Linked DNA regions of Caenorhabditis elegans. The protein of the gene in region 1 interacts with the protein of each later gene in a pairwise test. Each region holds a gene or a part of one and is shown on either strand. Other genes may lie near its edges. The genes, in order: glh-3 and zyx-1.

Region 1 (5,393 bases):
TCACAAAAGAACTAGAAAAGAGAATCAAATGTTGAAATTACAAGAACTTGAAGATAAGAGAAATAGAATTGTACGTTTTTCGTTTTTTTTGTGTTTTAGATACATTTTATTGATGCTTTTCCAATTGTGATGTTATATTTATATCATGTAGCTGGAGTTTTATTCTTGGAATGAAGTCCGCTAGTTTTGCTACTTGCATGGTTATTCTAAACTTTTATTTTTTCAGGATTACGACAACCTGCAAATCGGGAAAGTTATTACAGACGATAACAGAAGAAACTTTGTTCTTGCCACAGACAAAAAGATTACTACAAAAGCTCCATTTCAATGGGCACTTCTTGATCATATTGGTAGATTTAACTCTATTTTATTTGATGATCAAATGATCATTTTTCAGCATCTGGAAGCTTTGGTTCTGTACATCGTGCAATGGATATTGATTCTCATCGTGTCATTGCAGCAAAAGTCATGCGAATTCAACGCGAAAACCATAAAGCAATCGAATCGGAAATCAACATTTTCCGTCAATTAATTCATGAGAATCTTGTCAAATATTATGGTGTTCAAGTTGAAGACAGTGACGTCATCATATTCATGGAATATTGCTCACAGGGTACACTTGAACGAATTTGTCACGGAAAAATGGATTTGAAAATGGTTCGACAATATACGAATAGCTTGTTGCGGGCTGTACAGTATCTTCACTCTCATAAAATCATTCATCGTGATATAAAGCCAGCGAACATATTCCTCGATAAGTGTACCGTACTCAAATTAGGAGATTTCGGATGTTCTTCGCGACTTGTCGAGTCAAGTACAGTATACGGAGAGTTTCAAACAACTGCCGGAACTCCTCAATTCATGGCACCAGAAATTTATTCATATGGGGAAAAGGATGAAACAACTGGAAGCTATAGTGGTTACGGTAGAAGTGTTGACATTTGGGCACTTGGAGCTACCGTAGTCAATATGATGACTGGAAAAGTTCCATTCGAAGGACAAACTCGTCATCAAATAGCCTTCGCGGTATGTTTATTCTAGACACATGTAGATAGTTGAGTCTAAAGATAATAATTGTTGCCATCAATAAGTAAACTTTCAGCTTTGCTTCCGCAAGCAAAAACCAACTTATCCTGATATTGCCGACAAAAGACCAGATGTTAAACGATTCTTCGATAATTGCTTTGAATTTCTTCCAAATGATCGGCCTACAGCTGCGGAACTTCTTCAAACTACGTTTGCAAATGTTAATATAACGGTAATTATCAAGAATAAATAGAAAAATTAGTAAATTTGCAAGTTTCAGGACGAAAATCATATCCCGGACTATCAATCACAATCTTCAAAGGACAAATCGTCACCAAGCTCGTTTTTTCTAGTCTAGACGTTTTTGTATACTGTATTTTTTGTTAATAATAAAAATAATCTACCCGTAATCTCATCTTCGTGATAAAAATGTACCTCTACCTAACTGAAATTCACTTTGTATTTTTGTATTAAAGTTAATAAGAATAATTTAAATTGCCAATAAATACTCATTTTACAAATATTTCCAACGACAACAGGAGGTTTAGTTTGTTAGATTTGAATCGACATAAGACCAAAATTTCTGAATGTGAAAAGAGCCGGCTACTGTAAAATATGTTATGTGCAATTTTTCGTCAATCGTGCTGTTCTCTGTGCAACCCCGGAACAAATTTGAAATTTCATTCTTTTAAACAATTTTGCAAATCTTAAGTGTTTATTTTTATTTGGTGTTTAAAAACTAATTTATATGCTTATTTATCGTTTCTTGGAAACAAAACAACTTTACGCGCAAAATATTCTTTGCAGGTAAACGAAATCTTCCGATACTGGCTGGGGGATTAACTCTGGTTGTCAAAATAGAGTTAAACGGCACGGAATAATGGATAAAAGCCCAACAAAGACAAGTATCCGGACCAAATTCGCTAGACACCAGCCAATTTCTGATGTAGATACTACAGAACAATGTAGGTTTTCTGAATATCACTACCAATTCCCAACATTTATTTTTCAGCGAGTTCATGCATTAAAAAAGATGATCGAGGTCTCAGCAGTTTTGGAGTTCAATCATCAGTATTTTCTCGTCGTAGCTGTAGGATGTCTGAACTCGAAGCGAAACCAACAATAATTTCCGAAGATCAACGTATAGCCGTGCGCAGCGAGATTGGGGGCTCTTTTTCTGGCTTCGATGACAAAGTTGATAATGTTTTCCACTCAAATAATAATTTGCATGGATCACCATCTACAACGGAATTGGAATGTCCTGGGATAATGAATCCGAGATTTCTCGTGGGCAGATCTCTAAATTCTAGATCACGAGCAGTAACTCGTGGAAGCAAGAGAACCTCGAATGTCAAAGAAAATGAAGGTAAGTTTGGCAGGAATTTACTATCTGGTAAAAGTGTGGTCTTTGTATGAAGAATTATTTGAAATTAAGTACCGAATACAGATAATAGACAATTTCTCAAACTTTTTTCAGGGAGCATCCACCGTTCTGATGATCAAGTATCAACTGAAAACTGTTCGGCAAAAGATGAGGAACGTGACAGAGATTCCGGTGGTGTTTCAAGCTATGGAAACAAAAGAAGCGATGAATTCTGCGGTACCTCTCCAATCCTTGAAGCAAAAGGTTTTGGAATCAGCAATACATGTTTCAATTGCAAGAAGTATGGACATCGTGCAACAGAATGCTCCGCCCCACAACGTGAATGTGCTAATTGTGGTGATCCGAATCATCGTGCAAATGAGTGCGCAAGCTGGTCGAAAAACGGAGTTCAAGAGCCGACAAAGGTCACCTATGTGCCAGTCGTGGACAAGATGGAGGAGGTATTTAGCATGTTGAAGATTAACGCTGGAGATTTCTTTGACAAGTTCTTTGACGCTAGCGTTCAACTTGTGTCACGTGGACAGCCGGTCACCATTCAACCATGTAAAAGTTTTTCCGATTCCGATATTCCTCAAAGTATGAGAAGAAACGTGGAGAGAGCAGGTTATACCCGAACAACTCCGATTCAACAATATACACTTCCACTTGTTGCTGATGGCAAAGATATCCTTGCTTGTGCTCAGACTGGATCGGGCAAAACTGCAGCATTTCTTTTGCCGATTATGTCTCGTCTAATTTTGGAAAAGGATTTGAATTATGGAGCAGAAGGAGGTTGCTATCCACGATGCATTATTCTTACACCAACTCGAGAGCTTGCTGATCAAATTTACAACGAGGGCAGAAAGTTTTCCTATCAATCTGTTATGGAAATCAAACCAGTCTATGGCGGAATAAATGTAGGATACAATAAGAGCCAGATTATGAAAGGATGTACTATCATTGTTGGAACAATTGGACGTGTTAAACATTTTTGTGAAGATGGCGCTATAAAACTCGATAAGTGTCGATACCTGGTCCTAGATGAAGCAGATCGAATGATTGATTCAATGGGATTCGGACCAGAAATTGAGCAAATTATCAACTATAAGAATATGCCCAAAAATGATAAACGACAAACAATGATGTTCAGTGCCACATTTCCCAGCAGCGTCCAAGAAGCTGCTCGTAAATTGTTGCGTGAAGACTACACAATGATTACAATCGATAAAATTGGAGCCGCCAACAAATGTGTCATTCAAGAGTTCGAGTTGTGCGATAGAACATCAAAAGTGGATAAGCTTTTGAAGCTTCTCGGTATCGATATTGACACCTACACCACCGAGAAAAGTTTGTTTTACTTTCACTTTTCAATATCGTCATATATGTTTTTAGATTCTGATGTCTTTGTGAAGAAAACGATTGTATTCGTTGCTCAACAAAAAATGGCAGACACTCTGGCCAGTATCATGTCGGCAGCCCAAGTTCCAGCGATTACAGTTCGTTTGTATATTAGTAGTGTATTTCCATTCTTCTTTTTTATAGATTCACGGTGCTCGCGAGCAAAAAGAACGGTCGGCTGCTTTGAAATTGTTCCGAAGTGGAGCTAAGCCAGTGCTCATCGCCACGGCTGTTGTTGAGCGTGGTCTTGACATTAAAGGTGTAGATCATGTTATTAACTACGACATGCCAAATAACATTGATGATTATATCCATCGAATTGGCCGGTTGGTTATTTCCTGAAATGTTTTATTTTTTGTAATTACCGTTTTTCAGAACTGGACGAGTCGGAAACTCGGGAAGAGCAACTAGCTTCATATCATTGGCAGACGATGTTCAAATTCTGCCGCAGTTGGTGCGAACTCTAGCTGACGCCGAACAAGTTGTGCCAAGCTGGATGAAGGAAGCTGCAGGAGGGACCTCCAATCCTAATAAATTCGAAAAATCTATTGATACCGAGGAACCGGAGGAAGCTTGGTGAAGCAATGTATTCTAAATTTAATTTCTGCAAAATATCAATCTTGACGTATTATTTTTCTGATAATGTTCAGCCCCCTTTTATTCCCCAAAATATCTGATCGTCTTGGCATTTCAACTTTAAATTTCCCGAATTTTTAAAATATATTTTTTGTTGTTAGGTTTATATGTTCATTTTTGTTTTCAATAGTTGGAATGTTTATAAATTCAGATCAGTATTCAATCAATGTCTCGTAAATCTGATAAATTTTTGTTTTAATTAAAGCTTTCAAAATCTTTTCAGATGGACTCACTATCAGTTTTTTTTAACTTCTCAGTTGTCTTGGCACGATGCCCACTCGATAATAACTGGTCATCTGTTTATTCGTGACTCATAAATTTGATAATAGTGAACGCTGAGAACGTGTTTTTTAATGAATTTTAATATTTAAATTCAATCAATTCAAATAATTAAATCTCATTCATCTTATAATATTAAAATCTTATGTATATAAAAATTAAATTAAGTCAATTTGAATTTTACGAAAGAATTACTGTAGCACATGTTCTGTGTAACATCGCGTCGTTCATCATGTTTTGTGTGCATACACTAAGCAAATTCAAATTTCAAAATGCTTTAATTTCGAAAATCCCAAAATTTTAAAATCAGTTTTTAGAAATGTTTTGTCAGTTTTTTATTCTGTCCGTGTTGTTTTAGGGAAAATTCTTTCTTCCAATTTGAGTTTGAAAATGTTTTCGTTAAAAACAAGTTTGAAGAACCTGTAGTTAATAACTTTCGCCTGAGCATAATTACTTTCGCTCTTGAACTCAAGGGAACATTTCTAATTTTCAGACTTGCTGCCGTTGATAAAAGCATTCACCATGAACCTGAATGACCGAGTGGAAGGCATCGGTAATGAAAGATCTATCGTTGCGAAATCAACCGAGAGAAAGAACAAAATTCCGCCCTCGTTAAAGCTCAGTCCTGTTGAGTCAGTTGGCGAGGTTTGTAAATTTGTTTTTCGAAATAGTTTAAAAGTTTTCATTTTTA
Region 2 (5,068 bases), on another chromosome or scaffold:
CACACAGATATTGGCCTAAGAACCATTCGGTCGCTGTACATGCAATGCTAGCCGCAACTCACGAGGTGTCGGCCGCTAACTGTAAGGTGTCGAGCGCATCTCACAAGTTGTCAAAAGATACCCGTTAAATGTCAGCCTCTTGGCCAAATACCTGTGAGGTGTCGGCTGGTACCTATGAGGTGTCGGCCGCTATACATAAAATGTCGGGCGCTAACCATAAAGTGTTAATTTTCCAACAACTAAAAAATAATTACCTTGGATCGTAGGGCTCCGACCACTGAAGAACCGTCTCCTTATTGCCATATTTATTCGAATTATTGTTCTCGTTTAAGCTATTGCTTGATGTTGTGGTGGTTGCCGTAGTTGCCGTGTTATTAAAATAATCGTCGTCCTTGTGATAGCTTCGGAAGTTTGTAGGATATGAGTGTTTAGAAGAATATGGAGACACATAAGTTGCCTCACTATTACTATTACCAAATGATGGAGGCGACGGGGACTTGTTTGCGTATTGAGTTAGAGTGGATGATGAGAATTTATTGATTGGGCTATAGTTTGAAGTTGGGGAAGTACTTGATAGAAGAGCCTCTCGGGATTGCTGGAAAGTTTTTGATTTTTTTATGAGGACCGATGGAATGTAGTACCTGGAATTGGCTTAACGCATTGGGGTCTCGATGAAAGTCGCCGAGCGGACGAGGTTGGTTGGAATAAGTGGGCGGAGAAGGAATCTGAAAATTATCAGAATTTTAATGACGCATCAGCCCGGGAGTTGTCGGCTGCAACCTCTCTAAAAACCCTCTCACCTCTGCTCTGGTTTTCGGCTGAGCCAATTGTTGGAGGTTCGCGCGATACGTCCGATCTCCGTCAGGCAATTGTTGATGCGGTCGGTCCAATCGTCCATCGGATAGATTCTCGACGTCACCTCGAACCGGTTCGTTGTAGCCGGTCTTACGCAGACGTGCTGCGGCGTGCTGTAGTGCCGAAGCGTCCACTGTGGGACGGGACGGCTTGGGCGGCGCAGGTGCGGGATGGTTGTTACGTCGTGGTGCATCCTCTGTCTTCCATTTGCGAGATGGTAGTATCTCTCCCTAGAAGTTAATTTCTTACTTTTGGAAGTAAATAGTTATATAAGATCATATCACATTTCATATTTTAGTTTCACCCGACTACATTACTTTGAAACGCTATATCTTGGTTCTTTTTCAAGATACCAATAATTGTCAAACTAAAAAATGTAGAAAAAGAACTAAAAAACATTTTGACAGTTGACAATTTTTGAGTAGAGCAAACGACAACTGAGTTATAGGCTCTCAAAGTTGTAAAATTTTTCAAACTAACCAAATCTGCCAAATTTGAGGAAAACAATTTTTTTAATTAAAGGTCGGTAGATTTTTTGCTTTAAATGACAGAATACTGTCCTAATATACCGATTATAACTGTTTAAAATTTAAAAAAAATTTTAATTTTTCATTCACGCCCAAACTAATTGGGTTTTTCTTTATTTTTTTTCTTTATTTTATAATTTGAAACATATTTAATTTTCCAATTTTTCAGAAATTTTTCCGTAAAGAAAACTATATAATTGCAAAGAAAATTGCCAAAACTCTGAAATTGGATTAAACTTTGAAATTGGCCAAAATGGAGACTAATATAGCGGGAAAACACAAATACCGTATTTCTTCTATTAATATAGCTGCAATACTATTTTTCGATGGTCTTCCCGCTTGCAATACTAATAGGGAGTGCAAGACTATTAGGGAGTGCAATACTAATTTTCAGAACATTTTCTGACTTTGAGCTTACTAGTTTTTTCCTGAAAAAGCTCGAATCATATGTAAAAATTCTGAAAATTTGATTTTCATATAATTTCAAAAACTTCAATCTCGTAGAAATGATGTGAAAACTGTTGCAAAATAGGCAAAAATGTTGTTGAAATCCTGAAATTAGCGAGACGGGTTTGCAATACAAAAAAGTTAACGCAAGACTATTAGAGAGTGCAAGACTAATAGGGAGTGCAATACTAATTTTCGGAAGGTCTCCGAGGGGCAATACTAATAGGGAGTGCAAGTCTAATAGGGAGGCCATATTAATAGAAGATATACGGTATGTCGAAAATGACGTCACTCAGTTGCGCGGGAATTTAAATTTCATTCGGCCCTTTTTATTATTTTTGCAAAATTTTAAAAAAATCATAAAAAATTTACAAAAATTTTATAATTTTTTTTACTGTTATGTATGGTATATTGGGGATGTATTCTGTCATTTTTTTCTTTATTTTTCGAAAAAACCCTCATTTCCGCTGGATAAAAAAAATTTGCCACTACGATTATGGTTAGCAATAATTTATGGTTTTTCAAGTGATTAATGAGAATAATTAAATGCCCAGGGGTGCTAGAAGGAGCACATAAATTACCGTATGCAAATCGTTTACCTTCATATGCAAAATGTGCTTTGAATTAATAGAAAGGGTATTGTCTAGAGCGTGGGAAGTGAAATAGAATTCAGAACGACTCTAAGAGCCGGCAGTTCAGAAATAAATTAACGATAATTAAACCCATCTGCCTCCAAAAAGCCAAGATTTTAAATTTTGAAATGTCTATTTCCACGTGATGTCAGGATGTCTCATTACAGTTTGATCTACAAAAATGCGGGAATTTTTTGTTCGGAAAAATTGTGATCTACAAAAAATGCGGGAATTTTTTGTTCGGAAAAATTGTGATCTACAAAAAATGCGGGATTTTTTGTTCGGAAAAATTGTGATCTACAAAAAATGCGGGAATTTTTTGTTCGGAAAAATTGTGATCTACAAAAAATTCGGGAATTTTTTCAGAAAAATTGTGACGTCAGCAAGATCTGCGAAATCAGATGAGATGTCTGCGTCTCAACTCCCGCACTTTTTGAAGATCAAATCGAAATAAGAAATTCTGACAATCCCTGAGCTTTTGGGGGTTTTATCGAGCTACCGTAATGGATAACATACATAATTTTTAAACCTCTCTCCCACGCCATTGATTTTTTTTCAAACTTTTGGCCTAAAAAAATTTCAGAACATTTTCCAATTTTCTTTTGCAATTTCAGTTCAACTTACGGATGGGAGTAGAGGGGGTGGTGGAGGCGGAGGCGGGGGTCCCATAGATCAGTAGCGGATGCCGAGTCTGGAATAGTGCTGAAGGAGCGAGCACGACCCAAGCTGAAAGACACATATGTTGGAGGTCAGGACACAGAGCAAACAATTTAACACAACAAAAACATGAAGAAATGAAAAAAAAACGATACCTTTGACTAGGATAATGAGGAAGTGGTGAGAGGTAACTCATATTAGGATGTGCGACCTGGATGGATAGAGAATGTCTGGAGAGCGCGCCTCGGTGTGGTGTTTAGTATGTTTAGAGTCTTGGGGGCTCCGACGGACCCCGAGGAGCTGCATGCCACAGGAACCCCGGGCGAACCGCGTCGGCGTCTCTTCACATCCTTACGACTCTCTCGCTTCATCCCGGCAGGAGCCCATTTTACACTTTGGCTCACAAAATTCGACTGATGGCAGGAAAAATAGAGAGGATATGGGAGGGGGGGGGGGGAGATTACAAAAAAAGGAAAGCGAAAACGAGGGATAAGCGATGAACAAAGAGGAAAAGAGATAAGCAACAACATCTGCTATTGGAAGATGATATCAAAAATTTCGTGTGAAATCCACGTGGCAGACAGGAAATTGGTGGCTGATAATTTATAGGGGAGAGGGACCGGCAATATTTAAGTTATGGTTGGAGATTATACAAAAACCTAGAGTTCACAGCGTGGCCTAGAAAATCTAAAACTCATTATTTATATTTTAGCAATTTGATCTTAAATAGATCATTTAGAGTTCGAGGAAATTACCCTATGTGTGTTAGCGGCCGAGTTTTCTCATTTTCGCGGCCACGTATATTTTTCTCGGGTTCTAGGCCATGACTTTCGGCTCAACCTAATCGTTTTATATTTCAGATTTTTTTTTTAAATTGCTATTTGAAAGCACAGATTTAGATCAAGCACAAATTTGTGATGTGGCCTAGAAAACAGATAACTCGGCCATCAATTAAATTTTTCAAAAAGTTTTCCAGATTGAATCTATAAGGTGTCGTCTACATACAATTCGAGAAAAAAAATGTTTGTAGCGTAGCCGAGTTTTCTTATTTTTTCGGCCACGAATATTTTTGTGACGTCATATTTTCAAGTGGGCCTTGTCGGGTTCTAGGACATCACATTCGGTTTGAATTTTTTTTTTCAAATCCGAAATTTGCCTAATTTTATTCTGGAGCACTTTTTTTATACGAAAATTGAAGTTTAATCTTTCTAACCCAAAACTGTCCGTCATTTGTGGCTTGGCCTAGAAAAAAACGGGAAAACTGGGCCATCAACATATATTTTCTTTATTGCTAGAGATGATCTTAAAATAGCCTTTTACAGTTAATGAAAAGACCCCTTTTCATCCTTTTTATAATTAATTGTTTTGTGGCCGATCTTTCCCATTTTAAAGCCAATATTAACTTCGATTTATGTGATTCTAGACCATTCTAAAAAATTAAAATTTTGAGAACTTTGAAGTTTTTAACTTCAAAGAATTTTTGTATTCAAAAAAGTCTTCCAACCCCAAAAAAAACTGTCATCTTTGAAGCACAGAACGCCATGCAAACAACGATAAAACATTGGAAGAGCGGAAAGAAGAAAAAAACCGACGCGAAAAAAAGTCTGTGGTTTTATGGATGGTATAGTTGTGCCCAACCCTCTCTTCTTCTCTTTTCACAGGAATTTTATGGGCGGTTTCGTGGGCGCAATCATGATCATTCCCTAATATTTTTTTTTTTCTACAGAAAAAAAATATTTTAAGAAAAAAAACTTTTGGCTGGAATTCGTGAGAAACAAAAATTGAAACAAAAAACAGTTGGTGTACAAACATTGAAAAGAGGAGTCTATGTATTTTTCGACTTATTTTAACTGCCTGAAACTCTTCCTCTTTCTGCCTAGAATAACCGGAATTCTATGCAAGCAAACAGGGTAATAGGTGAATCACATAGAACTTTGAACTTTGTCAGGA

The links.
Region 2: the proteins of glh-3 (region 1) and zyx-1 interact in a two-hybrid assay, tested with the Caenorhabditis elegans proteins (one study listed by BioGRID).

Annotation. Positions count from the first base shown.
Region 1 is NC_003279.8:5,791,555-5,796,947, reverse strand, and holds glh-3 (ATP-dependent RNA helicase glh-3), read left to right. Parts: upstream 1-1,833; 5' UTR 1,834-1,906; coding exon 1,907-1,991; intron 1,992-2,038; coding exon 2,039-2,392; intron 2,393-2,503; coding exon 2,504-3,736; intron 3,737-3,781; coding exon 3,782-3,885; intron 3,886-3,931; coding exon 3,932-4,113; intron 4,114-4,162; coding exon 4,163-4,367; 3' UTR 4,368-4,627; downstream 4,628-5,393. Other genes in the region: mtk-1 (Protein kinase domain-containing protein), read left to right, coding at 1-70, 227-350, 398-1,026, 1,103-1,258, 1,301-1,384; cpb-3 (Cytoplasmic polyadenylation element-binding protein 3), read left to right, coding at 5,225-5,347. UniProt on the Caenorhabditis elegans protein: Probable ATP-binding RNA helicase.
Region 2 is NC_003280.10:13,055,214-13,060,281, reverse strand, and holds the start of zyx-1 (Zyxin), read right to left. Parts: upstream 3,131-5,068; coding exon 3,086-3,130; intron 1,484-3,085; exon of another isoform or gene 1,463-1,483; intron 1,086-1,462; coding exon 801-1,085; intron 726-800; coding exon 642-725; intron 596-641; coding exon 255-595; intron 226-254; exon of another isoform or gene 1-225. Other genes in the region: azyx-1 (Alternative N-terminal open reading frame of ZYX-1), read right to left, coding at 653-725, 801-1,085, 3,086-3,187, 3,274-3,314. UniProt on the Caenorhabditis elegans protein: Functions both as a mechanical stabilizer (via LIM domains) of focal adhesions, and as a sensor component for muscle cell damage (via N-terminus).